5 linked regions of the Macaca mulatta genome follow. The protein of the gene in region 3 interacts with the protein of the main gene of each other region in a pairwise test. Links are inferred from orthologs where the notes say so. Each region holds a gene or a part of one and is shown on either strand. Other genes may lie near its edges.

Region 1 (6,130 bases), on a different chromosome or scaffold from region 3:
CATTTAATTCTCAAAGCAGCTCCACAAAATAGGTAGTGTCTATTATCATTTTGTCCACTCCATATAAAACCAACATGACATACTAAAGTAAACTGCCTTAGATCATAAAGTGATAAAAATGGCTAAGCCTTAAGCCTTAAATATATGTTACAAATGCATTTAACTTGGGGTCTTCTATTGGTCTCTGGCTGAATAACCAGTTATAAAAGACATTTTTGCAGACAGTTCAGGCAGAGTGTTAAAGACATCAGGGAATTATTAATTTTGTAAAATGTGATAGTAGTATTGTGGTTTCACAGAACAGTATTTTTATTTCTTGAGAAGTAAGCTCAATTATTCAGGTACAAGAGTCCCAATGTCGGCAATGTCTTTGAAACGCTTCAGCAAAAATACTTATGCCTGTTTTATTAATGGGAAACCTTTCGACGTTAGGAAAAATATGACTGAAAGGGAAGCTGCAAATCCATTCCCAGCAAAGAGTGAGTTACAGAGAAGAGTTCATGAAAGGAACAAAAGAGAAAGCTGAATGGCAGCTCGATGTCTCCAGGGTTAGAGCTTGGTTCAGGAAGGTTTATCTTGTCTGCGAATTTCCAAGCCATTCATAGCCATGATCAAATGCTTTAATTTTTAAAAAACTTCCACTCCTATGCGCAGAGGACGACTTACAATAGTTTGCTGATGCTCTTTACTTCTTAAATTATATTTTTAAAAGTCTGTAGAATTGTAAATTTTAACATGCATTTTTGTGGGGGGGGGAGAACGAAAGAATGGTCAATGTATTTTCTATATGCAAGGTATCTTTTGGGACCATCGTCAACAAGAGCAAAGAGAGTTTCCTGAATTACCATATATTAGAAGAACTTTAAATTGACATGGAAAACAACATTAGAAAACAAAACTGTTTTTAAATTAAGCACAGTTTTACCATTTGCAAGATTCTGATTTACTGCATTCTGATGCTAAATGAAACATATTATCTGGACCATTCCACAAAAGCTTTACTATATGTAGACTATCAAGTCTATTTTACCAAAAGTACAAATACATCTTCCCTAGGTCTCCAGTTTGATGCCACAGTTCTCTTAAGTAACAACCCCTGCCTGGTTCCAAAAGGTATCTGAGAGACCTCAAACATAAAATCATTACAAGAAAAAAATAGAACAAAATTCACCCAGAGTAGGAATCTAGCAAGAACCTAAGCAAATATGGCTACCTTAATCAAACAATAATTTTAGCTCTGGACTTAAAGACAGTGGCAGCAAACAACACCTGAACAACAAAAAAGCAATCACAGCAAGCTCTGTAATTCAGAGAGAGAAACCTTACTGTCACTAACACTTAAAAGGAATTTTTCAGATGCGTCATTACACAGGTACGTTGAACATAATAATAGACGGTAGCTACCATGGCAGTTTACAGCCCACGAAGTCGCTTTCTTCTCAGGCATGTAAAGTCTCGTGCCAAGGTCATCACATTAAAAATAACCCCTATAGCCCATTTCTTCAGTGGCTAAGATGCCAAGGCTTTCTCAGCCTCTAAGTGAAACTACAACTCCTCAAATATCTATCCTCTCAACTGGACTTGTGACAGCAGTGGAGGCTGCAGCTTCATGCTGAACTTGCTCTGAGAGCCTAAAATGGAACTATTCTTTCCTCGCTGGTGATCCCACTCGAAATCCTTCTGCTTTGGATAGCAGATGGAGAAAGATGCAAGGCTGACAAGCTGCCACAAAAAGGGCCAGGTCAGGCCTGTATTCCCAAGGAGTGGAGCCAAGGTAGAGCGGTCAAACCTCTCCAAGAATCTGCAAGGCCAGAGCACAGCAACCAACCTCACTGCCACTGCTGCTACTCTGTGTGCAGGTACAATCGAGGGCCCATAAAAATACTGATTTATTGGCCACGTTCACAAGGCAGCAAGGCCCAGAAGCATAATCCTTCTCTATATTTCAGCGCTAAAAGCGCAACTTTTTTTTCATTTTACCATTTTAAGATGCTATATACGAAGACAAAGCAAAACGTCTGAAATAGAAACACCAGCAGATGTGGTGGGACATCTGCGACAGGCACACCAGCAGGGATCCTCTCCTGTGACGGGTGTCTGGAAGATCAGGGGTTACTGCAGTCAAAGTTCCCTGGGGACTCACAGGAAGGAAATTGAAATTCCTTTCCCCAAACAGCAGCCCCATTCCCGCCCAGACTGGCAACAGCAGACGCCAAAGGATAAAGGGGGTATATTTAATAAAGTGAGTAGATTTCTTAGAGTAGAGCACAACACTGTCACCTGCTGCAAGAGACAAGCCTCCCTGTCGCCCAGCCCTGAGTCACTTCCCCTCCCAGCACTCTTGAGGCCCAATGCCTGCGGGGGGCAAAAGACCTGGGGCCTCTGGAGCACGCCTCCCGCAGCCCGCACTCCACTGCTAAGACGCGCGCGGGGCCTCCCTCCAGGGCGCGTCCCCGCGGCTGCCAACCGGCTCTTTGAGCCCAAGCCCGCGCCGCCACTACCTTGGCTAATGGCAGCACTGAATGAAAGGAACCGATGCAGACTCCGGATTTATGAATGTGCAGGGGAGGAGGGGAGGGATATCATGTGACAATAAAGGAGAGCGTCTTATTCACAAAAAAAAAAAAAAAAAAAAAAGTGGCTGGTGGCGGGCACAGCCACTGAGCAGCAGCGGCGGCCGCCGCGCGATGACCGCTCGGACCCCAGGCAGAAGACCTGAGGTGTCGGGCCCCGCGGCCCCGCCCCCGTCGCACCCGAAACAGAAAACGCCTCGGACCAGGAAGAGAAAATGCCAAACTGGACCCCTGGACCGCGAGGCAGGAGGCAGCTGCACCTCCGCCCCGGGCTGGCGACAGTCACGGGTCCCGCGCGGGGCTGCCCGGGATCCCTCCGGCGGAGCGCCCCAAGCATTGTTCCCCTCGGGCCTGCGGGCCGGGCACAAGCCCGTGCACGCGCACCCGCGAGGACACACACACACACTCGCCCCCAGAGCGCTGCCCCGCACGCCCCCGCCGCACTCGCCTAGGTCCGCCCCGAGGCGCCTGACCCCGCAGGACGCGTGTGCCGACCACAAGCGCGTGCACAGGCACTCACGCACCGCGGGGCCCCTCGGGCGGCTCCAGCACGCCGGCCCGCGCGGGGACCCTGGCGCACCAGACCCCAGCGCAGCCCGCGCCCGTCCTCCTCTCGCTCCGCCGTGTTTTTTATGAATGAAAATGTGGTATGCAAATGAGAGCGATTCAAGAAAACGAAATGGCGGAGCCTAGGCCCCAGTGGGCTCAGGAGCGGACTGCGGGGCTCGCGGCGCGGCGGGAGTCACAAAGTCACTGTGCAAAAACCCACCGGCCCCGGGAAGCCGGAGTGGGGGTGTCAGGTCTTCCGCTCCAGCCGCCGAGGATTTCGGGGGCGGGGGGGTGCTGTGAGTCCTCGGAGAGGGAGCGGGGACCGCCCGGAGGTCACCCGCACGCCCTTGGCCCCCGGGGCGGCCACCAGCCCGCCGACCCTAGGCGTGCGCCCGCCAGCCCGCAGCAGTTTTTGCCCCCTCCTCACTTCAACAAGCAGGGAAGCCTCGCGTCCCAACCCCGACAGGTCAGCGAGTCGCTGCACCCCACGCCAAGTTCACCCAATAAGCGTCCCCGCCCGCATCCTCAGCCCCGGCCCCCACGCTGCCCCCGCGGGGCACCCTCGTCCCACCCCGCGACCAAACTTACTCGTCCGGGTGTGTTTCTTCGGTCATTTTCTTGTTCACCTAGACGCCTGTCCCGCGGCGGGCAGCTTTGCTCCCTTCATCTTCCTGTCCGCTCGCCCCCCTTCTTCACATCTCCGGAGATCGCCTGATTTGGGGAGGGGGGGCGGCTAGAGATGGGGGCGCCGCAGCAGAAGGGGAAGCAGGGAGCGGGGTGAGGTTTGGGGGAAGGGGTGCAAAGGCAGGCTGCAAGGGGAGTGAACGCCGCAGCGCCGTGGGGAGAGGCGGGCGGAGGCTCCGGGGGCTCGGGAGCGGGCAAAGGGGGCGAGATTTGGGAAGGGGACGGCGGTGGGGGAGAGCAGGAGAAAAACAAGCGCGCCTTGGAGCGGCGGGGACTGCTGCGAGGAGGAGGAGAGCGCCGGCCGCGGGTGGGGGGACTCGGTCCGGGGTCGCCCCCGGGGGGCCGGGCCAATCACGGTTCCGGGGAGCGGTCGGCGGCCGGGGGAGGTGCGCCTGGGAGGCAGTGCAGGGCGCCCCGTCCGAGCCCCATCTCTCGACTCCACCGATTTACTCCATATTGGATTCTCACCGCCGCCAACAGGAGGAGGAAGTAGGGCGGAAGCGATGACGTCTTCCCAGCGGCCAGAGGTGGTGGAGTGCAAAAAGCTTCCTACTTGCGACCGAAAAAAACGGGAGAAAAAAAAAAAAAAAACTTTGTCCCGCCTACTGAGCACGCCCGGCTTCCTCTCCCCCTCCCTCCTGGCTTCCACTCCCGGGGGAGCCGCGGAGCCGAGTTGTTTGCTTTCGCCGCGACCGTCTGGCTCCGAATCCTCCTTGATTAGGGCTCCGGGTTTTAGGAAGCCCGAGAGGAGAGAGGAGGCGGGAGCGGAGGACTCTTACACATCTGGCTCCCGTTTTTGCCCCCTCCCTCCTTCCAAACCCCAAGATTAAAAATCGGGGGGTTGGGCGGGGGCGGAGATGCGAAACTCAAGGGAGGGGAGGGAGTGAAACAGCTGAAGAGGTGCTCAGGCTCAGAGGAACAACTACCCCCACCGCAGGGTGGGAAGGTAGGGGCGGCGCAGGTGCCAGGGGCTGGCTTCTCTAACCCAACCCAACCAGAAAGGAGAGGGGGTTCGACTTTACCAAGGTTCTGAAAGGCAGAGGCTTTTCCGTTTCACGTGAATCTTGTGATTTTTTTTCCTTTTTTGTCTCAATAGAGGAACGGATTTTTGTTTTGTTTTGAGATGGAGTCTCGCTCTGTCCCCAGCCCAGGCTGGAGTGCAGTGGCGCGATCTAGGCTCACTGCAACCTCCACCTCCTGGGTTCAAGTGATTCTCCTGCCTCAGCCTCCCAAGTAGCTGCGACTACAGGCGCGCGCCACCACGCCCAGCTAATTTTTGTAGTTTTAGTAGAGACGGGGTTTCACCGTGTTGGCCAGGATGGTCTCAATTTCTTGACCTCGTGATTCGCCCGCCTCGGCCTCCCAAAGTGCTGGGATTACAGGCATGGGCCACCGCGCCCGGCCAAGGAACGGATGTTTTTAAGAATCATTACTCGTGCAAAGCCCAGCACAGCCCAGAAACGTTTGCATTTCCGTAGAAATTATGGAAATTCTCGCGTTAAGAGGCAGCCCCGGCCGGGCGCAGTGGCTGACGCCTGTAATCTCAGCACTTTGGGAGGCCGAGGCGGGCAGATCACCTGAGGTTGGGAGTTCGAGACCAGCCTGACCAACATGGTGAAACATCGTCTCTACTAAAAATACAAAATTAGCTGGGCGTGGTGGCGAGTGCCTGTAATCCTAGGTACCCGGGAGGCTGAGGCAGGAGAATCGCTTGAACCCGGGAGGTGAAGGTTGCGGTGAGCCAAGATTGCGCCACTGCACCCCAGCCTGGGCAACAAGAGCGAAACTCCATCTCAAAAAAAAAAGAAAGAAAGAAAGAAAGAAAAAGAAACAAGGGACATAGTCCCTATCCCTTGCTGCTCTCCAAACATAGTAGACTTTTCCATCCTCTTGAATGTCCACGGGACAATCCAGATATGATGTTAACTAAATAGCAACCACTGAACATCAGGTTAAGAGATTAAATATTTGCCTCAGGCTGGGCGCAGTGGTTTATGCCTGTAATCCCAGCACTTTGGGAGGCCGAAGTGGGCGGATCACCTGAGGTCAGGCGTTTGAGACCAGCCTGGCCAACATGGCAAAAACCTGTCTCTACTAAAAATACAAAAATTAGTTGGGTGTGGTGGTGGGTGCCCATAATCCCAGCTACTCCGGAGGCTGAGGCAGGAGAATTGTTTGAACCCAGGAGTCAGAGGGTGCAGTGTGCCAAGATTGCACCATTGCACTCCAGCCTGGGCAACAAGAAGAAACTTTGTCTCTAAACAAATAAATAAATGCCTCACATTTAGTATTCCTAAAATTTACATGCATCTAGGAGCCACAAA
Region 2 (5,983 bases), on a different chromosome or scaffold from region 3:
AAACCCCTTCTCTTTTTTTTTTTTTTTTTTTTTTTTTTTTTGAGACGGAGTCTTGCTCTGCCGCCCAGGCTGGGGTGCAGTGGCCGGATCTCAGCTCACTGCAAGCTCCGCCTCCCAGGTTTACGCCATTCTCCTGCCTCAGCCTCCCGAGTAGCTGGGACTACAGGCGCCCGCCACCTCACCCGGCTACTTTTTTTTGTATTTTTTAGTAGAGACGGGGTTTCACCGTGTTAGCCAGGATGGTCTCGATCTCCTGACCTCGTGATCCGCCCGTCTCGGCCTCCCAAAGTGCTGGGATTACAGGCTTGAGCCACTGCGCCCGGCCCGAGAAACCCCTTCTCTACTAAAAATACAAAAACTTAGCCAGTGTGGTGGCACATGCCTGTAATCCCAGCTACTCGGGAGGCTGAGGCAGGAGAATCGCTTGAACCCAGGAGGCAGAGGTTGTGGTGAGCCAAGATCGTGCCATTGCACTCCAGCCTGGGCAACAAGAGCGGAACTCTGTCTCAAAAAATAAATAAATAAAAGAAAAAGCAAAGAGATTATGACTTTTTTTAATTCCTCACCTACTTCAGGACCTAATATGGGATTTTCAGGCAGCTGGCATTGAACAGATTTGGCCAATGCAAATTAAAATCCAGTTTCAGAAGCTCTTTGGAGCAGTCCTACAGGGGGAGGTGAAAGAGAAGGGGTGGAATGTCCATGGATAGTCTGGCCTGGGTTCCTGGTCAGAAAGTGACCACACATGATATGATGACTATGGTTAATTAGGAACTGAGAAGATAAAAAGAAAGGACAACAGGAGCTCACAATCTCTGCTAAAAATGTAGGGCCGAATAGCTAGGCAACGTTACCAACGCAGTGGTCCCCATGCTAGACTGGGCTTTTTAAAGATTTTCTCCTACTCACTGATTCACAAACTCTAGTGGAAGGACCCACTGTATTTTTCAAAACCTTTCCTAGTATTCCAACAATCAGGCAGGTGAAACAATCATCGTGTAGCCAGGCATGGTGGCTCATGTCTGTAATCCCAGCACTTTGGGAGGCCAAGGCGGGTGGATCACCTGCAGTCAGGAAATTCAGACCAGCCTGGCCAACATGGCGAAACCCAATCTCTACTAAAAATACAAAAATCAGTCGGGTATGGTGGCACCTGTAATCCCAGATACTCAGGAGGTTGAAGCAGGAGAATTACTTGAACCCGGGAGGTGAAGGTTGCAGTGAGCCGAGATCATGCTACTGCACTTCACCCTGGGCAACACAGTGAGACTCTGTCTCAAAAAATTAAAAAAAAAAAAAAAATCACTCCGTAGAAGCAATAGTTACTTGTGACGAAGTAATGTAGGTTTGTCTAGCTGTACCACTCAGGGCTGAGAAGTCCTACACACATTACTCTAAAATTGGGGTAACAAAAACAGTACCTAAATGAAGTTATGGCAGGAAATCAGGTGTGAAAACATGAGTCATAAAACAAACAAGCTCTGAGCAGACCACACAGAGGCTACCCTCTCCTCCTCCTGGTCCCACTGCTCCAAACCCATCCAGGCCTTCACTAAGTAGTGCTATTTGTGCTGGCTGCCTTGCAGACAAATCTCCTTTACCTATGTCCAAAGGAAAGTCAAAATGAGAAGTAGGGGCAAGATATTTGTCAAACTAGAATCAGACTCCAAGAAAGTCACATCAGAAAAGTCAAACAACAGACATCCAAATGGTGGTGGCGTTGTTAGTATACACCAGGGGAAGGGTCAGCAAATAACTAAGTCAATTATTACTGAAGCTCTGTGGTCCTCTGTATGGTACTTAAAGCCTCTGACTCTCTTTCCCAATCTATAAAATGGGAATGGAAAACATATCAAACTCACAGTGTTGTTTGGGTTTTAAAGAGACGGTCCATGAAAATTGCCTAGTACAGTGCCTGGTATACATACAAATGTCCAGAGAATATTAACTATCAATCCTGGATAAATTAAAGTTCAAAGACACACAGAGACAAACAAGATTTGACAGTGCGACTTGCAGAGCCAGGTCTTCTGACTGAAAAGCTCTTTTCTAGTCAGTACAGAAGAGTGACACAGAGCCAACAAAAGTCCTTGAAGGCAGAACCAAACCACATCGTGGTGGGTGGGGAACCCACTGGGAGGCAAGGGCAGGGCATTTGGGTCTGACACTGACACTAGCGGTTATCTCTCTGTTCCTGCTTCCGAGCCTTTCCTTGTCCTTTGAAGCCCCCAGTTCTTTCCATCTCTAGGTGTCTCCGTCAAGGACAGACTTAAGACTCACCAGAAAGCAAGCCAGACTGCTGGTAAAGTTCTAGAGACCTGATCTGGCATCACCGGCTTTGCTCTATTGGCTTTGAGGAAGCCATCAAAGCAAATGAAGACTGGTCGTCTTCACTGCATCTGCTCTGCGTACAGAATCCTTCTCATTCTAACCCACCTTGCTGGCAGTAAGTGCTTAGACAAGCAAACTCAGCTCATCAATACCATGAGGTTCTTTGATGGGCGAAGAGATGTTTCCTTTCCTCAGCTCCCCTTACTTCCTCTCCGCCCCCGACTAAACTCCCATCTTCTCTCGGTACTTCTCTCACCTTGTACTCCTGCACCACCTCCTCCAATGGCACCACGCTGTGCTGTTTGTGGCTCCTGGATTCTCGGCACACCACACAGATGGCCTCTTCGTCTACCTCGCAGAAGAGCTTCAGGGCTTCTTGGTGTTTGGGACAGATGCCCTGATCACTCACACGGCTCCCTCGACCAGGGGTTGGGTGCATCTGCCGAATCACCTGGACCATATTGGCCAGCTGCAGGTTGGGGCGGAAGCTCCGCCGAGGAAAGCTCTTTCGGCACTGGGGGCATGTGAAGCACCTCCGAGGGGCTGGAGGCGGGGGCAGTGGGGTGACGGGGTCTAGATCCTCTTCCTCATCCTCCTCCAGCACTTCCTCCTCGTCCTCCTCATCCTCCCCCCTCAGGTCCTCCTCCATGTCCCCCAGGTAGTAGTCCAGGTCTTCTTCTTCGTCCTCCTCCTCCCACACATAGTCCATGTTGTCCCAGCTGGACCTGCTCATGCCACTGGTCCAGAACACACCCTCTTCTTCCTCCTCGACCTCCTCCTCCATGTCACCCTCGTAGTCTTCATCCCGCATGGGGGTGTCCCACCCCGCGCCAGCCCCCACAGCCTCCACTTCCTCCTCCTCTCCGTCCTCCTCCTCCTCCTCCCGATCTAACTCATCTCTGTCCTCCTCATCCTCCCCACCCCACAACTGGGTTACACAAACTCGGCAGAAGTTGTGCCCGCAGCCGATGGACACGGGGTCCGTGAAGTAATCGAGGCAGATGGCGCACACCGCCTCCTCCTGAAGGGTCTGCACAGGGTTGGGTGTCATGGCAACGGCAGCCATCTTAGTGTCCAGCCAGCCAGTGTAGAGGTGCGGTGGGGGGGCGAGGGGCGGGGGTCTTCCCCACCGACGCCCTGGCGACCCGGCTCCACCCCCAGCCCTGCCCCTCCACACCTCGCCCCAAGGGCAGCCAGAGAGATGTCCTCCCGCCAACCCACCCCGCCACACAGTGTTCCCTACTCCCAAACGACAACCGCGTCTCTGCGAGGGGAGGGGACAGTGCTGGGCACCACCGCCAAGTCCCTCAGGTGGCTCTGAGTGCAAATCTGCCCCTATGCTCCTTGGACTCCTCATAAACCCCCGCCCCTCCTCACTTCCTGGCCCCGCCCCTAGCTTCCGGCCTCCTTCCCAATACTTCCGGCGTCTACACACCACCTAAGCTCTCGACTTCCCTCCGCTGTCGTGCTACTCCCCCTTTTTCCCCCGCGGGGCCCCAGGGCGACAGGAAATGGCAAGGAGACGCTCTAGCCCGCACTACAGAACAGGGCGGTAGGGCTAGGACGGTGGAGGCCCACGTCTCTGTGGTGCGGGACCGCGGCGAACGCAGAAAGAACAGAGGAACCGCCTACCCCCATCCCCCGCCGCTGGGGAGAAACTTCGGGGGGTGGGGGGAGCGCTTGGTGGCCGTCTGCTTTCGGTGCTATGACCGCATCGGCCAGGCGCCATCCTACCCTCCCGACACAGCCGACTGCAGCCGGTACGCCGCACCGCCAATGCCGGAAGCGAGGGGGTGGGTCCGCGGAGCGCCCTGAAGTACTTCCGGCCCTTCTAGGCAGAAGACTTTGTTGTGGAGGACTCAGAGGGTCGTACGGCTCGGACCCCGGGCGGGGCCTGAGAAAGCGCTTGGCCGATCGGGCCGCAGACGCCCAACCCTTCCCCAACTGTAGTCGGCGTTCCGCATCCAAGGTGGAAACTGCCAACCGGACACAGTCTCATGGTTTAGATGAACTTCCCTAACTGCCCAGAAGTAAAGAAGTGGTGACGAATCATTACATCTACATTCGCACAGCATCTCCGCAAAAATAGATGCTTTGTGCAGTAGAAATAATACTTGGTGCTTAAATAGCTCTTTAAAATTTATTTTTATAGAGATTTGATGTCGATACATAATAAAAAACAAATAAATGTTGTTTGATGCGAGGAAAATGACGAGGCAATGATTTATGTACAGAATCTCCAGTGAGTGCCAGACACGGCGTGACGCCAGGGCTGGGCCTGCAGGACCTACTTACCCTGCTCTCGGAGAGGCGGCTCGCGGGAAAACTCCAGGGGGACGTCGTGCTTCCTAGAGGGGCCTGGTCAGGCCTCTGAGGATGTCAGATCAAACGCGCCAAAAACCACGAACACTCGTGGGTGAACTATGCTCGGCCATTACAGGAGCTGCGGACCCGGCTGCGGTAGACAAGTCTGGCTCCAGAACCTGGACACCACTTAGCCGGCCGCGGCAGGGGTCCCTGGGTCTGTCCCACGAGGGCGAGGGCCTAGCGCCTTCCTGGCCTTCGCAGCCACGTGTATCTTCAGGACGATGCTGGAGGAACGTTAGCTCAGGCAGTTTCCGTAGTGTAGTGGTTATCACGTTCGCCTCACACGCGAAAGGTCCCCGGTTCGAAACCGGGCGGAAACACGTTTTTTTTGGGCCTGTTCAGGAGAATTTCTCTCCCGAGGCCAGGTCACCCGGTTGGAAGGACATGTGTGGCCTGCGCTTCGGAGGAACACGAACTCATACCACGTCCTTAATAAATTCTCGCAGTGTAAATTCAGGTTTTACACCTCACCTAATCTCTTGCTCTTCCCTTCTGAAGCCTATGCAGCCATCACATGCAAAGGAATCCGTAGATTTCAGATCCTCGGCCCTAGTACCTAGAACAGAGCCAGGCGCAGGCGCTTCTTAGTACTTGTACAGTGGAAACGTGCCTACACCTCTGCGGGCAACCTCCGTCTTCAGAGACAAAGTTATAACGTTGGCCAAGCTGCCCGGCTAGCTCAGTCGGTAGAGCATGAGACTCTTAATCTCAGGGTCGTGGGTTCGAGCCCCACGTTGGGCGGAGTTCCTTTTGGAAAGGGTAAGGCAAGCCGTGTTAGTTAAGTGCACGAACGGTATCTTCTGGACCAAGATCTAGTGGGTAGCGGATTAGTTAAGGGTGGGCTAGAGCTTGGGCTTAACTGGGTGGTCTTTGATCGTTGTGTGGAAGCCCCGGAGCAGAGTTCTCACAACCCTCGCTAACTCTCCGAGCAAGAATGAGAAGCAGGTCCCTGCGGACCAGTTCCTTCAGGCCAGCAGCGCGGGTTCTGCATGCATGATCCTTTGCTGTAACCCACACGCCCACGGGCAGCACATATTAGGCACTTTCTGTTTACCAGACGGCCTGCCCCCGTGTCGGAAACTTGCTGTGCTGGAGGGAACAACATGGTTTGCCGAAACCGGGGTGAGGCCGCAGGATGACCCCAGGCGTTTGTGAGCGTCAAAACCTAATTGATTCACTCCCACGTTGCTGGGATATTTAGGGGTTAGGATTCCGCGTTTGCCTCGCTGCGACCTGCTTTCGACTCCCTGTCAAGAAAGATGCTTTGTGTAATCTGAGACACTTG
Region 3 (5,385 bases):
GCATTAATGGGGATTCACAGATCATTGCAGCCTTGAACTCCTGGGCTCAAGTGATCCTCCCACGTCAGCCTCCCAAGTAACTGGGACTACAGGCTCACGCCACCACACCCAGCTAATTAAAACAAAATGCTTGGACAGGCACAGTGGCTCATACCTGTAATCCCAGCACTTTGGGAGGCTGAGGCAGGCGGATCACCTGAGGTCAGGAGTTTGAGACCAGCCTGGCCAACATGGTGAAACCCCATCTCTACTGAAAGTATAAAAATTAGCCAGGAGTGGTGGCGCATGCCTGTAATCCCAGCTAGTCGGGAGGCTGAGGCATCAGAATCACCTGAATGCAGGAGGCAGAGGTCGCAGTGAGCCGAGATTGTGCCACTGCACTCCAGCCTGGGTGACAGAGTGAGACTCTGTCTCAAAAAACAAACAAACAAAAAAATAAATTTTTGTTTAGCCTGGGCGCAGTGGCTCCCATCTGTAATTCCAGCACTTTGGGAGGCCAAGGTGGGCGGATTGCTAGAGCTCAGGAGTTTGAGACCAGCCTGGGCAATACAGTGAAACCCTGTCTCTACAAAATACACAAAAATTAGCCAGGCATAGTGGTGCATACCTGTAGCACCTGTAGTGGAAGGCTCAGGTAGGAGGATCTCTTGAGCCTGGGAGGCAGAGGTTGCAGTGAGCTGAGATTGTGCCACTGCATTCCAGCCTAGGCAACAGAGCAAGACTCTGTCTCAAAAAAATAATTTTTTTTTTTGTAGAGATGGGGTCTTGTTATGCTGCCCAGGCTGGTCTCAAACTGCCAACTTCAAGCAATCCTCCCATCCTGGCCTCTCAAAGTGCAGGGATTACAGGTGTGAGCCACTGTGCCCGGCCTTCTTCAGGGTTGGTGAAATCCCCTGTTGCTCATCCTGGCTCTGGGAGGCCTAGGGGCTCCTGAGGGGGACCAGTAGAGGCAGGTCTCTGGCTGAGGGAGAGTGAGGGTGTGCCCAGGACTCCGCGGGTGTGGCCAGCACCTGGTGAATGCACAGCCGATTCGCAGGTCCAGTTCCTGGCGAGCATCCACTGAGAGCGCCTCGTTGTGGTCAGGCTCGCCCAGGCAGGCCATGGCATTACAGATGTCTGTGTCTGTGATGGAGCTAAACCTGGCCCGGAACACGGTCTTCTCACCACCATAGGCCTTGTTCATGACGGGCAGAACAGCATCAAGAACCTGGGGGTGGGGAGTGGCCAGCTGTGACCCACCTCCCAGATCCCTGCCACAGCTCCCCACCCCACTGTGAAGCCTGGCTCCTTCCAGCAAAGAACACGTGTGCTCAGCCCCCTCTCCTGCCCGTCAGACCCTCCTCTATCCCCCTGGCTTTCCAGAAGCCCTGAGCACTCCATACCACCCCACCACATGGCTTCCTTTCCTCCCATCTAGAACATATTCGAACACTCCCTTCTTACTCCCGCACTCTCTCTTCTAATCCTCTGCTTTCATCCCCACCAAATCAGGAAATGCTACTGCCAAGTACATGAGGGACCTCTTAGTCCCCAGACCCATCCCACATGACCCGATTCCCTGCCTTCTAGGAGGGAGGGCTTGGAGGGGTGGGTGGAAATTTTAAGAGGCTGAAGAAAAGACAGGGAAGGAGAAAAGAATGAAGGGGAAAGGAAATGGGCAAGAGCAGGAAGGCCACGGGTGGTCCCAGCTTGTGGTGGGGGCAGCTCGGGCTAAAGCACAGCAGGGGTCCTGGAGCCGAGACTCACTAGGAAGGCCGTGCAGTGGGACTAGGGTCGCCGCCGGAGCCTGGCCACGCAGCTTCCTTACTGGGAATAAGTGGCTTCATTTCTGAAGGGAGAAAGCCCCATGAGCTGCCCCCATTCTCCACTCCCAGATGCAAAGGCCCCCAGGGAGGAGCCGCCCTGCAGGGGAGGAGGGAATCTGGGAAGAGACAGAGTGTGATCGCATTTGCTGACGGTGCTGTACTGCAACGCCAGGTGCCTCAGCTCTGTCTCACTGACCACCTCTTGAGCCACAGGCGAGAGCTGGGGGTACAGGAGCACAGGGGCGACCCATAGGGAACAACAGCCTGAAGGGCACCAAGTGAGACCAGCAGGCATGGCCACTGTGAGGGCACCATGGCCAGGGCAAGCATGGGGCATGGGGTGTGCACAGGGAGCTGCCACCTGCTTCTCTGCAGGGCTCCCGGGGTTGGCTGGAGGCGGGAGGCATCCTGGGTGGGGCAGGAGATGAGCAGAGCGAGGCCTGCAAAAGGAGCTCAGTGCTGAGGTCGGGAATCAGCCAGCATCAACCCAAGGTCCCTGAGAAGTCAAGCTGGGCACAGGATGCTGAACACCAAGCTGCCCCATGACAGTCCCATTCTGAAACCTGCATCCACCCAATTTCGCCCCTCCTATGTTCACTCATACTGTGTGGCCCCAGCAAGCAGAGGCACAACTGACCACCTTTAATACAGCCGATGCAGTTAAAAATATCTATGGAATTTCAAAATAAAGGGAGGGGAGAGGTGTTTTTAAACCAGTACAGTTTACTCCCTCCTTTGGCCCCAGGAATGGTGTGACTGCTGGTGTCAGTCTGGGGCTGGCGTCAGAAAGGCCAAAAGTGAGGACCAAACTGAGCCTCATACTCACCTCAAAGCAGATGTTCTCCCCCTCCTTGTCGCAGTCCAGCCACAGCACGATGTAGTCGCAGCCTCTGCCCTCCACCTGCCACACAGCACACGTTCACATGCACCTGCTGCAGACCCAGCCCATGCCACCTGCCCCGTGCTCCCATCCAGGACAGGGCTTGGTCCCAGGCCCTGAACCTCAGCTAGGACGACTGGTACCTGGGCTCAGGTAGGAGGACTGGTAGCTGGCTGTGGTGAGGCTGGCTCAGCCAACAGCAAACAATTGAGTTTATAATTGATGTTTTTTGGACCAAAAAAAAAAAAAAAGTGTAAGTGCAACATGATCTTAAACCCCAAAACTGCCCAGAAAAAGGGTTCCAATGAAATAACCCTAAATGATAACAGCAGTTGTCTTGGCTAATATGATTATGAATAATTTTTTTGTCTTTATACTTATCTGCACTTTCTAATTTTCCATAATCTGTATGCATTTGTTTTAAAATTAAGGGGAAAAAACCCCCAGCCAAACAAGCTTTTTTTTTTTTTTTTTTGAGACGGAGTCTCGCTCTGTCGCTCAGGCTGGAGCACAGTGGCGCGATCTCGGTTCACTGCAAGCTCCGCCTCCCTGGGTCATGCCATTCTCCTGCCTCAGCCTCACCAGTAGCTGGGACTACAGGCGCCCGCCACCACACCTGGCTAATTTTTTGTATTTTTAGTGGAGATGGGGTTTCACCGTGTAAGCCAGGCTGGTCTTGAACTCCTGACCTCAGGTGATCTGCCCACCTCGGCCTCCCAAAGTGCTGGGATTACAGGCGTGAGCCACTGCGCCCGGCCCAAACAAGCTATTTTAAAAGCAGAAGGCCTGCTCTCCAGGACTGAGGGTTGGCACTGGCAACTGCCTTGTGTGTTGGGGGTGCCTGCAGGTGCCTCATGGGCCAGCAGGGGGCACTCACAGAAAGAGCTAGCAAAGGCCCCCCTGTCCAAGGGGGATTAGGACTCACGCAAGGGTGGGCAAGGACAGCTGTGGAGGGTGGGGAGCCCGGGTGTGCTCATGCCCAGGCCAGCCCCACGCACCTGCAGGAACTTCACCATGTTCAGCTTGGGGTTAGCTTCCTTCTTCTCCGTGGGAGCTTGGCTGAACAGTTCTGCGGGGTCCACTTTGTCCCATTTGTTGTATTTTCCTACAAACCAGTCACAGTGACATTGAGTCACACCTCACAGTTCACAGGGGCTCAACCTCCGAGACCATCATAACCCCAGGATGATGTTGGTTTCATCCCACAAATGAGGAGGGGAAAGCTTGGAGAACAATTTGCCCAGGGTCATCATGATGATCAGAGGCAGAGCCAGGATGTGGGTTCAGGCCTTTGGTAACCCCCTTCCCTCCAGCCTCCTTTCTGCTCGGCTGCTGAGCTGACACCACACTCCGGCCAACCACAGGAGCCAAGCAAGCTCTCCGGGGGCTGCCACTCTGGCCTCACTTCCGGGACTTTCCCTGTGGCTGGGAGCATCATTCCTGGGCTGGCTTTCTTTGCCTGAGCACTGGACCCCACCACTGGTGTCTTCATTGACACTTCCAACCTGAGTTTCTGGAACTCCATCCTTCCACCCAGCACTCTGTGGGGGCACACATGTGCGCAGTCATTCCTGTTAAAGGACCCATCTTTTTGAGCCTCATGCCCAGCACATTCACCTACTCATCTACAGAGGCCCAGTTCTTGCATGCTCAGCTGTCTGGCTTTCTTTTTTTTTTCTTTTTTTTTTTTTTTTTGAGACGGAGTCTCGCTCTGCCGCCCAGGCTGGAGTGCAGTGGCCGGATCTCAGCTCACTGCAAGCTCCGCCTCCCGGGTTCACGCCATTCTCCTGCCTCAGCCTCCCGAGTAGTTGGGACTACAGGCGCCCGCCACTGCGCCCGGCTAGTTTTTTGTATTTTTTAGTAGAGACGGGGTTTCACCGTGTTAGCCAGGATGGTCTCGATCTCCTGACCTCGTGATCCGCCCATCTCGGCCTCCCAAAGTGCTGGGATTACAGGCTTGAGCCACCGCGCCCGGCCTGTCTGGCTTTCTTTTAGGCCCATTTCTTTTTTTTTCTGAGACAGGGGTCTCGCTCTGTCATCCAGGATGAAGTACAGTGATACGATCATGGCTAACTGCAGTCTCGACCTCCCAGCCTCAATCCATCTTCCCACTTCAGCCTCCCAAGACTACAGGTGCGCACCACCATGTCGGCTGATTTAAAAAGATTTTTTTTTTTTTGTAGAGACAGGGGTCTCACTATGTTGTCCAGACTGGTCTTGAACTCCTGGGCTCAGGCGATCCTCCTAGGCCCCATTTCTTGCATCCTGGGAGAATGGGGTCAGACAGAGCCAAATTCAAATCCCAGCTCCCCACCTGTCAGCTGGAGATAAAACTTGGGGTCCAAATGCTCAGCCACACAACCCAGTCACCATCATTGTCATCACTGTCATCAATGAGCAGCAAGAACAAGGGCTGAGGCTTTGCCGTGTGCTCTGCCAAGTGCCAAGTGCTCTGCCCTCACTGTCACACAGAATCCTTACAGTCTTGGGAAGCAGATGGCATTGCTGTGAGACCCATTTCACTACGAGAAGTGTAAACTCACAGAGGCTGTCAGTGCCCTCGTCTCCAGCCAGTGAGCTGGCAGAGCAGGGGGAAGAGCCTGGATCAGACTCTTGCCAACCACACGGCCCCACACCTATACCCAGCAGGTCACTAACACCAGCACTTCCAAAGTAATTGATAACAGTAACAATATAGGA
Region 4 (4,610 bases), on a different chromosome or scaffold from region 3:
GTGGGAATTGAACAATGAGAACACTTGGACACAGGAAGGGTATCATCACACACTGGGGCCTGTTGTGGGGGAGGGGGAGGGGGCAGGGATAGCATTAGGACATATACCTAATATAAATGACGAGTTAATGTGTGCAGCACACCAATATGGCACATGTATACATATGTAACAAACCTGCACGTCATGCACATATACCCTGGAACTTAAAGTATAATAACAAAAAAAAGAGACAAATACTTGCATTCTTTTGAGTTTCTGGTTAGTCTTTCCCAAGGAGGCAATCAGATATGCATTTATCTCAGTGAGCAGAGGGGTGACTTTAAGTAGAATGAGAGGCAGGTGTGCCCGAAATAGTTCCCAGCTTGCCTTTTCCCTTTAGCTTAGTGATTTGGGGGACCCGATATTTATTTTCCTTTCACAGCTTCCTAACCTTATTTATCCTGCCTCATGTTTAAAAAGGCATCATAACTCTGTGATTAACATCTGGGCAACATTTTCTTAAGGCCTCAGAAAAAATGTGAAGCTATCAATGATATCTGAACAAATCATCTTAAATTTGATTGGCTCAATAGCTTATAGGGTCACTTCAGAGCTGATAATAGTCAAATAAAAGTAAAAACATCAAGAGCAGGTTCTCCTACTACAATGCCAAGTTATAATCACTTACGATATTACTTCAGATTCAAATGAAGGCACCACTCTTGGGAATTCTAATTAGGATATGCACCCCAGCTGCGACCTGCTCAAAGCTATGAACTAATTCCAATAAAATGATTCTTAAAAACAAAAGTGAGTCTTGAAATTTTCAGCCTTGCTGGGTTTATATATGTTAAAATGTTAAGTGTGGAGATGTTTAAATTATAACATAAACCTGTAGAGACCACAGTCAGAATAGATATCGTTTCATGCTATCCAGATGAAATACAGCTCAATATGCTTTTTTTTCTCAGCAGAACTCACTGGGAAATAAAGTCCACTTTTTAATAATAAATTCCAAAATGTTGTTTATTGAGTGAAATGAATTGAGTACATTAAATTCTTTATAGAAGATTTCCCTTCTTTCATTGGTGTCTACTTTTCAGAAATTTGGTTTTATCTTTTTTTGTCAAAATAGGGACAATAGTATGACAATTAGATATAACGTGTTAAAGATAAAATGTGTTTCAAGAGCTAAGGCATGAATTAAATCTGTCTTAATTTAGGATATTAAAACACCTGTGCACACCCACAAACACACACATACACATATACACACAGCACTTTTATTCCAATACCTTAAATTATGTATATTTTATATAGCATGTATCTTCAAAGTGATTTCAACATGGGTTGCTCTTCCTGTATCTTTGTGTAAAATATAATTGCTAGGGAATCAGTAAAATAATTATGAAAGCAATAGAGAATGATACCAATGAATTCTTACGTGCAGAAAAGTTTATTAGAAAGCAGAGATGCTACAAAGCATAAGAAATTCACACTAGGAGAAACACAGAATATAACTGGGCCCCTGGGTCTGAGGGTGCAACATCAGTGACAAAACTGAGCCTGCAGATAACGTCTACCTCACTGAGAAGGAGAATCTCTACCTCAAAGTGATAAAGAAAATAAGGAAATTAGAGGATTGGAATAATTTCTTAGTTAGTGGATTACAAATTAATTTCTATTTGGTGCTACCACTGGAAGAAAAAGAAAGCAAGGGAGGGAGCTTAAAATGAACCAGAATATTCTCAGAGTCAGTGAAATGGTGATGGGCTCATTGGAAACATGAGGTCCATCCTATTGAATGACATCAACCCCACTCCATGTGTCCTAATAGCCAGCATAGTAGAAGGGTCTGCATCTGTGGGCCAGCAGTGAAGGGGGAGGTGAAGCAGGGCAGGGGGCTCAGCAGCAAGAGGAGGCGCAGCACAAGGGGCGGGGGCAGGTGGAGATGACACAGGTTGGGCGATAGCAAGTGGTGTGGCAGGAGACTCGGCCACAGACTGGACGCAGGCAGCAGCAGGGGCGGCAGCAGCTGGATTCACAGCAAGAGGGGCGGCAGCAGCTGGAGATGCAGCAGCTGGGGCGGCAGCAGGTGGGCTGGCAGCACACAGACTGGCAGCACTGGGGCCTGCAGCAGCTGGACACACAGCAGCTGGGGCGGCAGCAGGTGGTCCTGCAGCAGGTGGTCTGACAGCAGCTGGGGCGGCAGCAGGTGGGCTGACAGCACACAGACTGGCAGCACTGGGGCCTGCAGCAGCTGGACACACAGCAGCTGGGGCGGCAGCAGGTGGTCCTGCAGCAGGTGGTCTGACAGCAGCTGGGGTGGCAGCAGCTGGGCTGACAGCACACAGACTGGCAGCACTGGGGCCTGCAGCAGCTGGACACACAGCAGCTGGGGCGGCAGCAGGTGGTCCTGCAGCAGGTGGTCTGACAGCAGCTGGGGCGGCAGCAGCTGGGCTGACAGCACACAGACTGGCAGCACTGGGGCCTGCAGCAGCTGGACACACAGCAGCTGGGGCGACAGCACGTGGTCCTGCAGCAGGTGGTCTGACAGCAGTTTGGGCTGCAGCAGGTCTCCTGGCAGAGGTCTTGGCAGCAGCCCTGGTCAGAGCACACGGAGCCACAACAGGAGTTGACCATGGTGTCAGAACGGGGAGGATCTGGGTGGGTTTCCAAGAGATTGAAGTTCTTGTGTTTGGAAGTCTTCTGGGTCCATAGCCTCCTTTATACCCTGCTGAAGGCCCATTGCCACCACGTCATTATTTCCTTGTTATTATTTACCTCGTGGAAAACTTAATCATGTAATTACATCATTGTGTGTTTCTAGTTAAATACTCCAAAACTAACCCATTTAAATATTCAAAAAATAACCCATTTCCTTTTCCTGCTGTGCTCCTGTGTTTCTATTGGAAACACTTGTCATATTTCTTCCCTAGTGGGGGTCACCTTTGTCCCTGGTCTATGCAGTGTCTTTTACAAACCGCTGGACACATGACTCTGACACTTTATTTCTAAATGTGATTCTCCCTCCTACCTGTAGATAGCTCTCTACAAATCATGGGGGACACTTTTTATAATGTGAATGTATCTTTTGTTGTCAAAGAATGTCCTGGTCAGATGAGATGTCGGAAAGGAGTTAGAAGGAAGGACTCATTCGGGAGAAGGATGTCCCACCTGTAATGAAGATGACTCTGATTCCGTGTATGCTTCTTGAACGGTTGAGGAGATGGTCAGATCCCAAGGAAGTTATAAACTCTGTGTCAGATCTTATTCCACCACTTCAAGTGAAAGTACTTAGCCATGACTCATTGCCTTTAAGGAGTAAAAACACATTTTTGTATATGTCTTACAGTATAGGCATTAGGAGTAGGAAGTTTTATCTTTGATCATCAAAATTGCATGATGAATTTCTATTTGACAAAAGCATTTGTTATATGTAGACAATGTTTATAATTATTAAGCCTTCAATAATGTGCATCCAAGACATTCTGTTGGGTACTCTGGGTATAGAACGGATAAACCCTCATCTTTTTCCTGCAGGTACTTGTATAAGACACATGTATAAGAAACAGAATTTGGCAAAAATGAAAGGAATCACAATTATGTTCATTAAACAACTACAATAAAAATGTATAGTATGTGGATAAGTTCCATACACCCTCAAGGTATGTATATTACTTGTGAAGTTTTGACTACGTACCAGACATTGTGCTAAACATCTTATATTTATTTCATTTTCACTCTTTAATACAACCTTATAAAGTAGTGTACATTCTTATTACTCTTTTAGCAGAGTACGCAAAAGAAGCATTAAAAAGCTAAAACAAACAAACAAACAAACAAAAAACGTGTCGAAGATTAAAGAGAAAGTAAGCCTAATATGTCTTAGGGTAGCCAAGAAAGAGGTAAAGAATAAAATTTGCCAAACTTGCTGAAACTGTTTCATCTTCTTGGAATGTTTCATTTTTTTTTGTTCATTCTGCAAACTCCTACTCATGTGTCAAAACCAGTTAAAATATTTCCTCCTCAATAATTTTTTCCTGATAAGCTACACCATACATTTATCATTATTTCCTCCCTTGTGCTCATAATTTGATACATTCTACTGTATCATAGTCATTTACTTCTGTCATTCCCCATATGCAATGCAAATACCCTGAAGGCATGGCCTATGACATTTCTTTTTGTTACCATGATACTCAGCACAGAGAACACTGGTGGTAAATGTTTATTGAGTGAATGAAGGCTTTTTGATGTCATAGAGGCATGTAAGGTCCTTTAGAAATGGATATATCTTTTGACTTCTGGATAAAAGAGAGGAAAACATTCCAAACAAGGAGATCAGAGTTTAATTTTAGGAAAACTAATTTCTATGGTAAGTAACATGTCCCCTGATAAACAGTATATGCGGAAAGTTGTGGAAGTTGGGATTCCATTCATAGAATAAGACTTAGTTATAGATAACCAGGAATACTGTGTCATCACATTGTGGAAGGGAAAAGAGAGGGTGAGACAGAGAAAGAGGGAGTCAAAATCATCCTTTTATAAGGAACCCACTCTTGTGATAACAACATGAATCCACTCATGAGGGTGGTGTCACCATGACCCAAACATCTGTTGGGCGCCGC
Region 5 (6,046 bases), on a different chromosome or scaffold from region 3:
CCCTGCTCTTAGGTAAGGGATTAACTAAATCAATTTTATCTAAATCAATTTGCACCGTTCAGATAATATGTTCATAAAGCAACCAAGTCACTCTGATTTACAGGAGTACTTCCCAGAGGTGGCCTTGCAAGGTACAACATGCCAGATGAGAATTCTAGTAGTCATGAAAACAAATAAGAGGGACACGACCACCCTTTCATGTCCCTAGCCTCTACCCATGTCCTGCACAGCCCCTCCGTGACCTAATCCTGGAGCTGCAAGTATGGAGTTTGGCCTGGAACAGGCAGGAGGCCAAAATACTGGGCTAAATCTGGGGCCTCAGCCCAATCAGCAGAGGTCCTCTGCAGATTATAGGTGCTTAATATTGTTGACTCTGCTACTAGGTGATAATTATGCTTATATAGCCATTCCCCAAATTATTTATGCCACTTTTCATTAGAAACTAACAAACTGCCCTCATATAGGCTAAAAATGGGTGAGGTTATGTCTTCAAATTAGTCTGACTCAGATTGTTAGGTTAGAGTGCATTAGATATGATTCAAGCCCCAACTTAAATGGTCATTATTACTCTGTATGCCTAGTTGTATGTATGTTTTCATTCAGTTGAACATGTATTGGAGACAAAACAGATTTAGGACCTAAGTACAATGATAAGATTTGACTCTGGGGGTGGGAGGCTAATAATGCTAAAGTAAGATTTTCAGTAAGCTAAGATTCCTACTTACACCCAGTCAATCCACTAACTCAGTAAAAGGTAAAGGAAGTGCTTTCTTTGAAAAGTATAATGTTGGCCGGCTGTGGTGGTTCGCACCTGTAATCCCAACACTTGGCTTTGGCAGGTGGATCCCTTAAGCTCAGGAGTTTGAGACCAGACTGGGAAACATGGTGAATCCTGTCTCTACAAAAAATTCAAAAATTAGCTAGGTGTGATGGTGTGTGCCTATAGTCCCAGCTACTAGGGAAGCTGAGATAGGAGGATTGCTTGAGCCAGAGAAGTCAAGACTGCAGCAAGCCATGATCACGCCACTGCACTCCAGCCTGGGTGACACAGCGAGACTTCATCTCAAAGGGGAAAAAAAATTATAATGCTGAGGGTTTACAGAACCCTTTCATCTTCAAAGGACCAAGTCAAGACTAACAATACCCAGTACACAATATTATAGCTTTTACACAAGTGCACCAACTAAGAAAGAAAAGTCATAGGAATGTCCTAAAGCCATAAGCCAATGTAACATCAGATTTGGGATGAACTCTGATCTTCTTGACTCCTGGACCTGTGTTTTAACCACTGCATTAGCTATTCTTGCATTGCCTTAAAGAAATACCTGAAACTGGGTAGTTTATAAATAAAAGAGGTAGGCTGGGCATTGTGGCTCTTGCCTATAATCCCAGCACTTGGTGAGGCCCTCAGATCGCTTGACCTCAGGAGTTCGAGACCAGCCTGAGCAATATGTCAAAACCCCATCTCTACAAAAAATACAAAAATTAGCTGGGTGTGGTGGCATGCACCTGTGGTCCCAACTACTCAAGATGCTGAGATAGAAGGATTGCTTAAGCCCGAGGCAAGACCCTTTCTCAAAAAAAAAAAAAAAAACAGAAAAGAAAAGAAAAAAAAGAAAAGAGGTTTAATTGGGTCACAGTTCTGCAGGCTGTACAGGAAGTGTGATGCCAGCATCTGCTTCTGAGGAGGACTCAGGAAGCTTACAATCATGGAGGGAGGCAAATGGGGAGCAGGAGATTCTCACATGGTGTGAGCAGAAGCAAGGGAGAAAGAGAGCTGGGGGGAAGTGCCGCACGCTTTTAAACAACCAGATCTCAGGAGAGATTACTCACTATCACAAGGACTCACAGTCAACCAAGGTGGTGGTGCTAAACCATTCATGAGAAATCTGCCCTCATGATCCAGTCACCTCCCATCAGGCCCCACCTCAACACTGGGGATTACATTTGTACATAAGATTTGGGCAGGGATAAATATCCAAACTTTATCAAACACATGAATCAAGTTGTGAGGAGCAATCAGGAGAAATCTAATTCACATTATATACCCATGTTAAGTTCATTGATTGGGCAGGAATATATAAAAATAGCAAAGACAGTTTCTCCCTCAGTACAGTCATGAGAGGAGACAGACAGGGGGATGTGAGTGTCGGGGGGGTGGGGAGGGGGAAGCTAACCATCTGGGGTAGAATGAAACCACTCCCCAAACAGAAGAAAAGTAGGGGAGGAGAACTCCCTATTCAGCAACTCCCTTCTATTGGAATATTGCCAGAGAACTGATTAGAGTACTGGGACGGAGCAGAATGGGGTTAAAGGCAGCCCTTCTGGCCCAAGTTGAGAATCAGAGGGATCAACCCACACACGGTACTTCTCTATTTAGTTTCCAATATATTCCTTTATAAGGGCTCATCCTCAGAGACACACAACCATCACCATCTATCCGCCCCACACTCAGAAATCCTCAAAAGGCAAAGTGGTTGAAGAAGTAAGATGCAGCATGGCTGGGAGGCTGGGAGGGCACAGGTTGATGGGGAAAGCCTGGGGTCCAAGGCGCTCTAGTGGGGGATTTCCATAGTCATGTAAGTGTTGTGACATAGGAAGGTGAGTGATCATGAAAACGGTAGGGGACAGTGGAAGAGACAGAGAAAGTAAAGAGTAAAACGACTCCAGGATTTCAATTTCCTGCTCTAAGAAGCAACACTTCTGAAAAATAATGTGCAACACACGAAGTGCTAAGTAACCTAAACCTTATCATCACCAGTAATATTCCTGTAAATCTACTCTGCTGTTATTTACTTAATTCTTACAAGGCAGGAATGGAAAATCCCCACTCTCCCTGGTTGCGTCGCAGTCTGTCCTGTGGACATATGTAAGTTTTCCCTCTCCCCCACAGAGCTGGTTTCACAGCTAGGCCAGAAATAAGGAACCATCCAGACGGAGACTCGAGGATCGCTCCCCTGGCAGAAAAGGGATTAAGTTTCACCGGGCCTCCCCGCCGGCAGGGCGTCCGCAGCCACGCCGGCTGCTGCGACAGCACCGCCCGGCAGACGGCCGGCCAAGGGGCGACGCCGGGGACGAAGAGGCTGCCGGCTGCGGGAGCGTGGGAAGGCGGCCGTGCCCTTTCCCAGACTCGCGCCCAGGCGCCGGAGGATTCGCTCGACTGCCCGCGCCCGGCCCGGCCCGGCTGCGCAGAGGCCTCGGCCGCCCCCGCCCCGCACCCCGGAGTGCAAACTCTGTCCCAGGAGGGCAGTGGCAGGAACCCGAGCCCCAACAGCATGACTGGGAGCCGGAGCTGATCTGGGGCCCCCGTCGCCGTCTCGAGCCTCGCGGGCCCCATCACCCTGCCCCGCCGAGCCCGAGAGCCCTCGGCTAACGCCGGGCCCCGGCGGCACCTGAAAAGCGGCCGGAGCCAGGGCCGAGCCCTGCGAGGGCGACGACGCTCGACCTCCAGGGCCGCGGCGAGGGGGCGCGTTTTACCCATAGCGTTCCCAGGTGCCAGCCATCTCCTCTGCTCGCTCGAGGGCGCTGGGCGCTCGTCTGCCTCCGCAGCGGGCTAGCTCGGGCTCCGGCGCGAGCTCCAGGGCCCCGGTCGCCGCCGCCGCCGCCGCCACCACTCTAGGCCGCCGCCCGCCTTCGCTGCAGCTGCCGCTACCGTCGCCGACGCCGCGCAGCAGCCGGGATCCGCCAGCCCGCGCGCCCCGCAGGGGATAGCACGGCGGCCGCGATGCTACCGCGGCTGGGTCTCCCGAGCTAAAGTTAAGAGTTTTCGCCCCTCAGTCCAGGGGCAGCACCATGACACCACGGCAGCACCACACTGTCATTTCCGCCGCCGCAGAGGAAAAAAAAAGGCAATCCCTTCCAAAAGGGAGGCGGAGTGGGGGCAAACGGGGTTGGGGCTGACACCCCAAGGGAGCACTGGGAAGGGCCAAAGAAGAAGGGGCGCTCGGACACCTTCCCAGGCTCACCTTCCGCCGCCCCCGCCACTCCCAGCTCCCCCAGCCCTTCCTCTGGAGGCACGTTTACATGTCTTCTCCCCTGGCAGGAGTGACCGGAGAAACCTGAGCAAGCAAAGGCAGCCGGTGGGTGGGGCTCGGGTTACTACTGTACCTACCAGCTGATTCCAGCAGCCTTTTCTCCAGCGCCCTGTCATCTTGAAGGAAGACACAGAGAGAGGGACCTGGGCGGGTGTGTGTGTGTGTATGTGTGTGTTGTGTGTGTGTGTGTGTGTGTGTGTGAGTGACAGAGCGACAGAGAGAGCAGAATGTGTGTGAAATGCAGAAGGAAGACTATGGCTAAACTCTTCTCCCACTCCCCACTCCTCTGTCCCCCAGCCCCACAAACCCCAGGTTAGAACAAGGAAGAGGCCTTTGCAACCGGTAATAAGAAGAGAGTGCCCGGGTCCACCGCACAGATCCTCTCCATGAAGCTGCTCTATGCAAAGTTAACTACAGAGTAAAACAAAAATAGTGGAGGAGATAGAAAAGGGCAGACAATTGAAGGAAACCCAACCCCTCTTTCTTTTTACAAAGAGAGAATGGCTGTGTTTTATTGGCCTCGGGCAGAAGTTGTGAAGGTGGATTAAAGCCATCAAAAGAAAAAAAAAAAGCAGGATTTTTCTTGTACCTTCAAATTGTTGACCAGTAAAACAAGAGGGTCGTTACCACAAGGACAATGAGGCAGATGCTAGCTATCCAGGTATTCCAGGTCCCTAATAAGCTAATTGGTCCATTTGGAATCCAGCATCCTCCCATTGGTCTGGAGTGACCCCCACTCAAAAGGTGGATGGGAGAGGGAAAGAGCAGGAAGCCCCATAAGAGACTCTGTTTCTAACTTGGGGCAAAAAGAGAGAACAAGGGGAAAGAAATGAGAAAATGAGAGGACCTGCCCCAGCGCGCGCGCGCGCGCGCGCGCACACACACACACACACACACACACACACACACACACACGCCTGCCATCATTGTGCATAAGAACAAGCCCAGAAAAATTGAGGTATCTCTTGGTATATCCCTTCAGGAAACCAATAGTAATCAGTCAACACTCCTGTGAAACAATGTGCTAGAGATCACTGAGGTGGAAACCAAGGCAAAAATCACAACCAGGCTGCCCTGATGAAAGTCTGGCCCCGGCCGGGCGCGGTGGCTCAAGCCTGTAATCCCAGCACTTTGGGAGGCCGAGACGGGTGGATCATGAGGTCAGGAGATCGAGACCATCCTGGCTAACACGGTGAAACCCCGTCTCTACTAAAAAATACAAAAAAACTAGCCAGGTGAGGTGGCGGGCGCCTGTAGTCCCAGCTACTCGGGAGGCTGAGGCAGGAGAATGGCGTGAACCCAGGAGGCGGAGCTTGCAGTGAGCTGAGATCCGGCCACTGCACTCCAGCCTGGGCGGCAGAGCGAGACTCCGTCTCAAAAAAAAAAAAAAAAAAAAAAAGTCTGGCCCCTAAGAGAAGTAAAAGGTAGTGAGTAACACCTAAAGTCCAGGCAACAAAAGCAAAAATAGGTAAATGGGACCATAAAACTTTCAAACATCTGCACAGGAAAGGACTCAATCAACAGAGTGAAAAAGCAACCTACAAAATGGTAGAAAACTTTTGCAAACCATATATCGGATAATGTGCTAATATCCAGAATGTATAAAGAACTTGTATAGCTCAATTAAAAAAAAAAAAAAAAAACCTCTTAAAAGTGGACAAAAGACTTGAATAGACATTTCTCCAAAGAAGATATACAAGTGGCCAACAGGCATATGCAAAGATGATCAACATCACTAATTGTCAGGGAAATGCAAGTCAAACCCCAATGAAATATCATTTCACATCCATTAGGATGGTCACTATAAAAATAAAAATTTAAAAATTTAAAAAAAAAAAAAACAGAAGAAAATACAGCAAGGTGTGGTTCACACTTGTAATTCCAGCTACTCAGGAGGGGATGCTAAGGCAAGAGAGTCACTTGAGGCCAGGAGTTAGAGATCAGCCTGGGTAACATGAAGAGAACGTGTCTACAAAAAATAAAATTAGAACAGAAAATAATAAGTGTTAACA

Evidence for each region. The genes of interacting proteins can lie anywhere in the genome.
Region 1: the proteins of TOP3B (region 3) and SPRED2 interact in binary tests that used the Homo sapiens proteins (3 or more experiments, as listed by UniProt). The link is inferred for Macaca mulatta from reciprocal best matches to the Homo sapiens genes TOP3B and SPRED2.
Region 2: the proteins of TOP3B (region 3) and TRIM41 interact in binary tests that used the Homo sapiens proteins (3 or more experiments, as listed by UniProt). The two-hybrid records come from large-scale screens. The link is inferred for Macaca mulatta from reciprocal best matches to the Homo sapiens genes TOP3B and TRIM41.
Region 4: the proteins of TOP3B (region 3) and uncharacterized protein LOC703872 interact in a two-hybrid assay, tested with the Homo sapiens proteins (2 studies listed by BioGRID and IntAct). The two-hybrid records come from large-scale screens. The link is inferred for Macaca mulatta from reciprocal best matches to the Homo sapiens genes TOP3B and KRTAP4-12.
Region 5: the proteins of TOP3B (region 3) and MID2 interact in binary tests that used the Homo sapiens proteins (3 or more experiments, as listed by UniProt). The two-hybrid records come from large-scale screens. The link is inferred for Macaca mulatta from reciprocal best matches to the Homo sapiens genes TOP3B and MID2.

The regions. Positions count from the first base shown.
Region 1 is NC_133418.1:59,260,360-59,266,489, reverse strand, and holds the start of SPRED2 (sprouty-related, EVH1 domain-containing protein 2), read right to left. Parts: upstream 4,113-6,130; 5' UTR 3,737-4,112; coding exon 3,711-3,736; intron 1-3,710. UniProt on the Homo sapiens protein: Negatively regulates Ras signaling pathways and downstream activation of MAP kinases. Recruits and translocates NF1 to the cell membrane, thereby enabling NF1-dependent hydrolysis of active GTP-bound Ras to inactive GDP-bound Ras.
Region 2 is NC_133411.1:190,264,447-190,270,429, reverse strand, and holds the start of TRIM41 (E3 ubiquitin-protein ligase TRIM41), read right to left. Parts: upstream 4,113-5,983; 5' UTR 3,689-4,112; coding exon 2,588-3,688; intron 1-2,587.
Region 3 is NC_133415.1:31,019,712-31,025,096, reverse strand, and holds part of TOP3B (DNA topoisomerase 3-beta-1), read right to left. Parts: intron 3,791-5,385; coding exon 3,684-3,790; intron 2,707-3,683; coding exon 2,632-2,706; intron 1,829-2,631; exon of another isoform or gene 1,720-1,828; intron 1,229-1,719; exon of another isoform or gene 1,208-1,228; coding exon 1,011-1,207; intron 1-1,010. UniProt on the Homo sapiens protein: Releases the supercoiling and torsional tension of DNA introduced during the DNA replication and transcription by transiently cleaving and rejoining one strand of the DNA duplex.
Region 4 is NC_133421.1:65,465,689-65,470,298, reverse strand, and holds uncharacterized protein LOC703872, read right to left. Parts: upstream 2,801-4,610; 5' UTR 2,623-2,800; coding exon 1,885-2,622; 3' UTR 1,813-1,884; downstream 1-1,812. UniProt on the Homo sapiens protein: In the hair cortex, hair keratin intermediate filaments are embedded in an interfilamentous matrix, consisting of hair keratin-associated proteins (KRTAP), which are essential for the formation of a rigid and resistant hair shaft through their extensive disulfide bond cross-linking with abundant cysteine residues of hair keratins.
Region 5 is NC_133426.1:114,596,096-114,602,141, reverse strand, and holds the start of MID2 (putative E3 ubiquitin-protein ligase MID2), read right to left. Parts: upstream 4,113-6,046; 5' UTR 3,482-4,112; coding exon 3,478-3,481; intron 1-3,477. UniProt on the Homo sapiens protein: E3 ubiquitin ligase that plays a role in microtubule stabilization. Mediates the 'Lys-48'-linked polyubiquitination of LRRK2 to drive its localization to microtubules and its proteasomal degradation in neurons.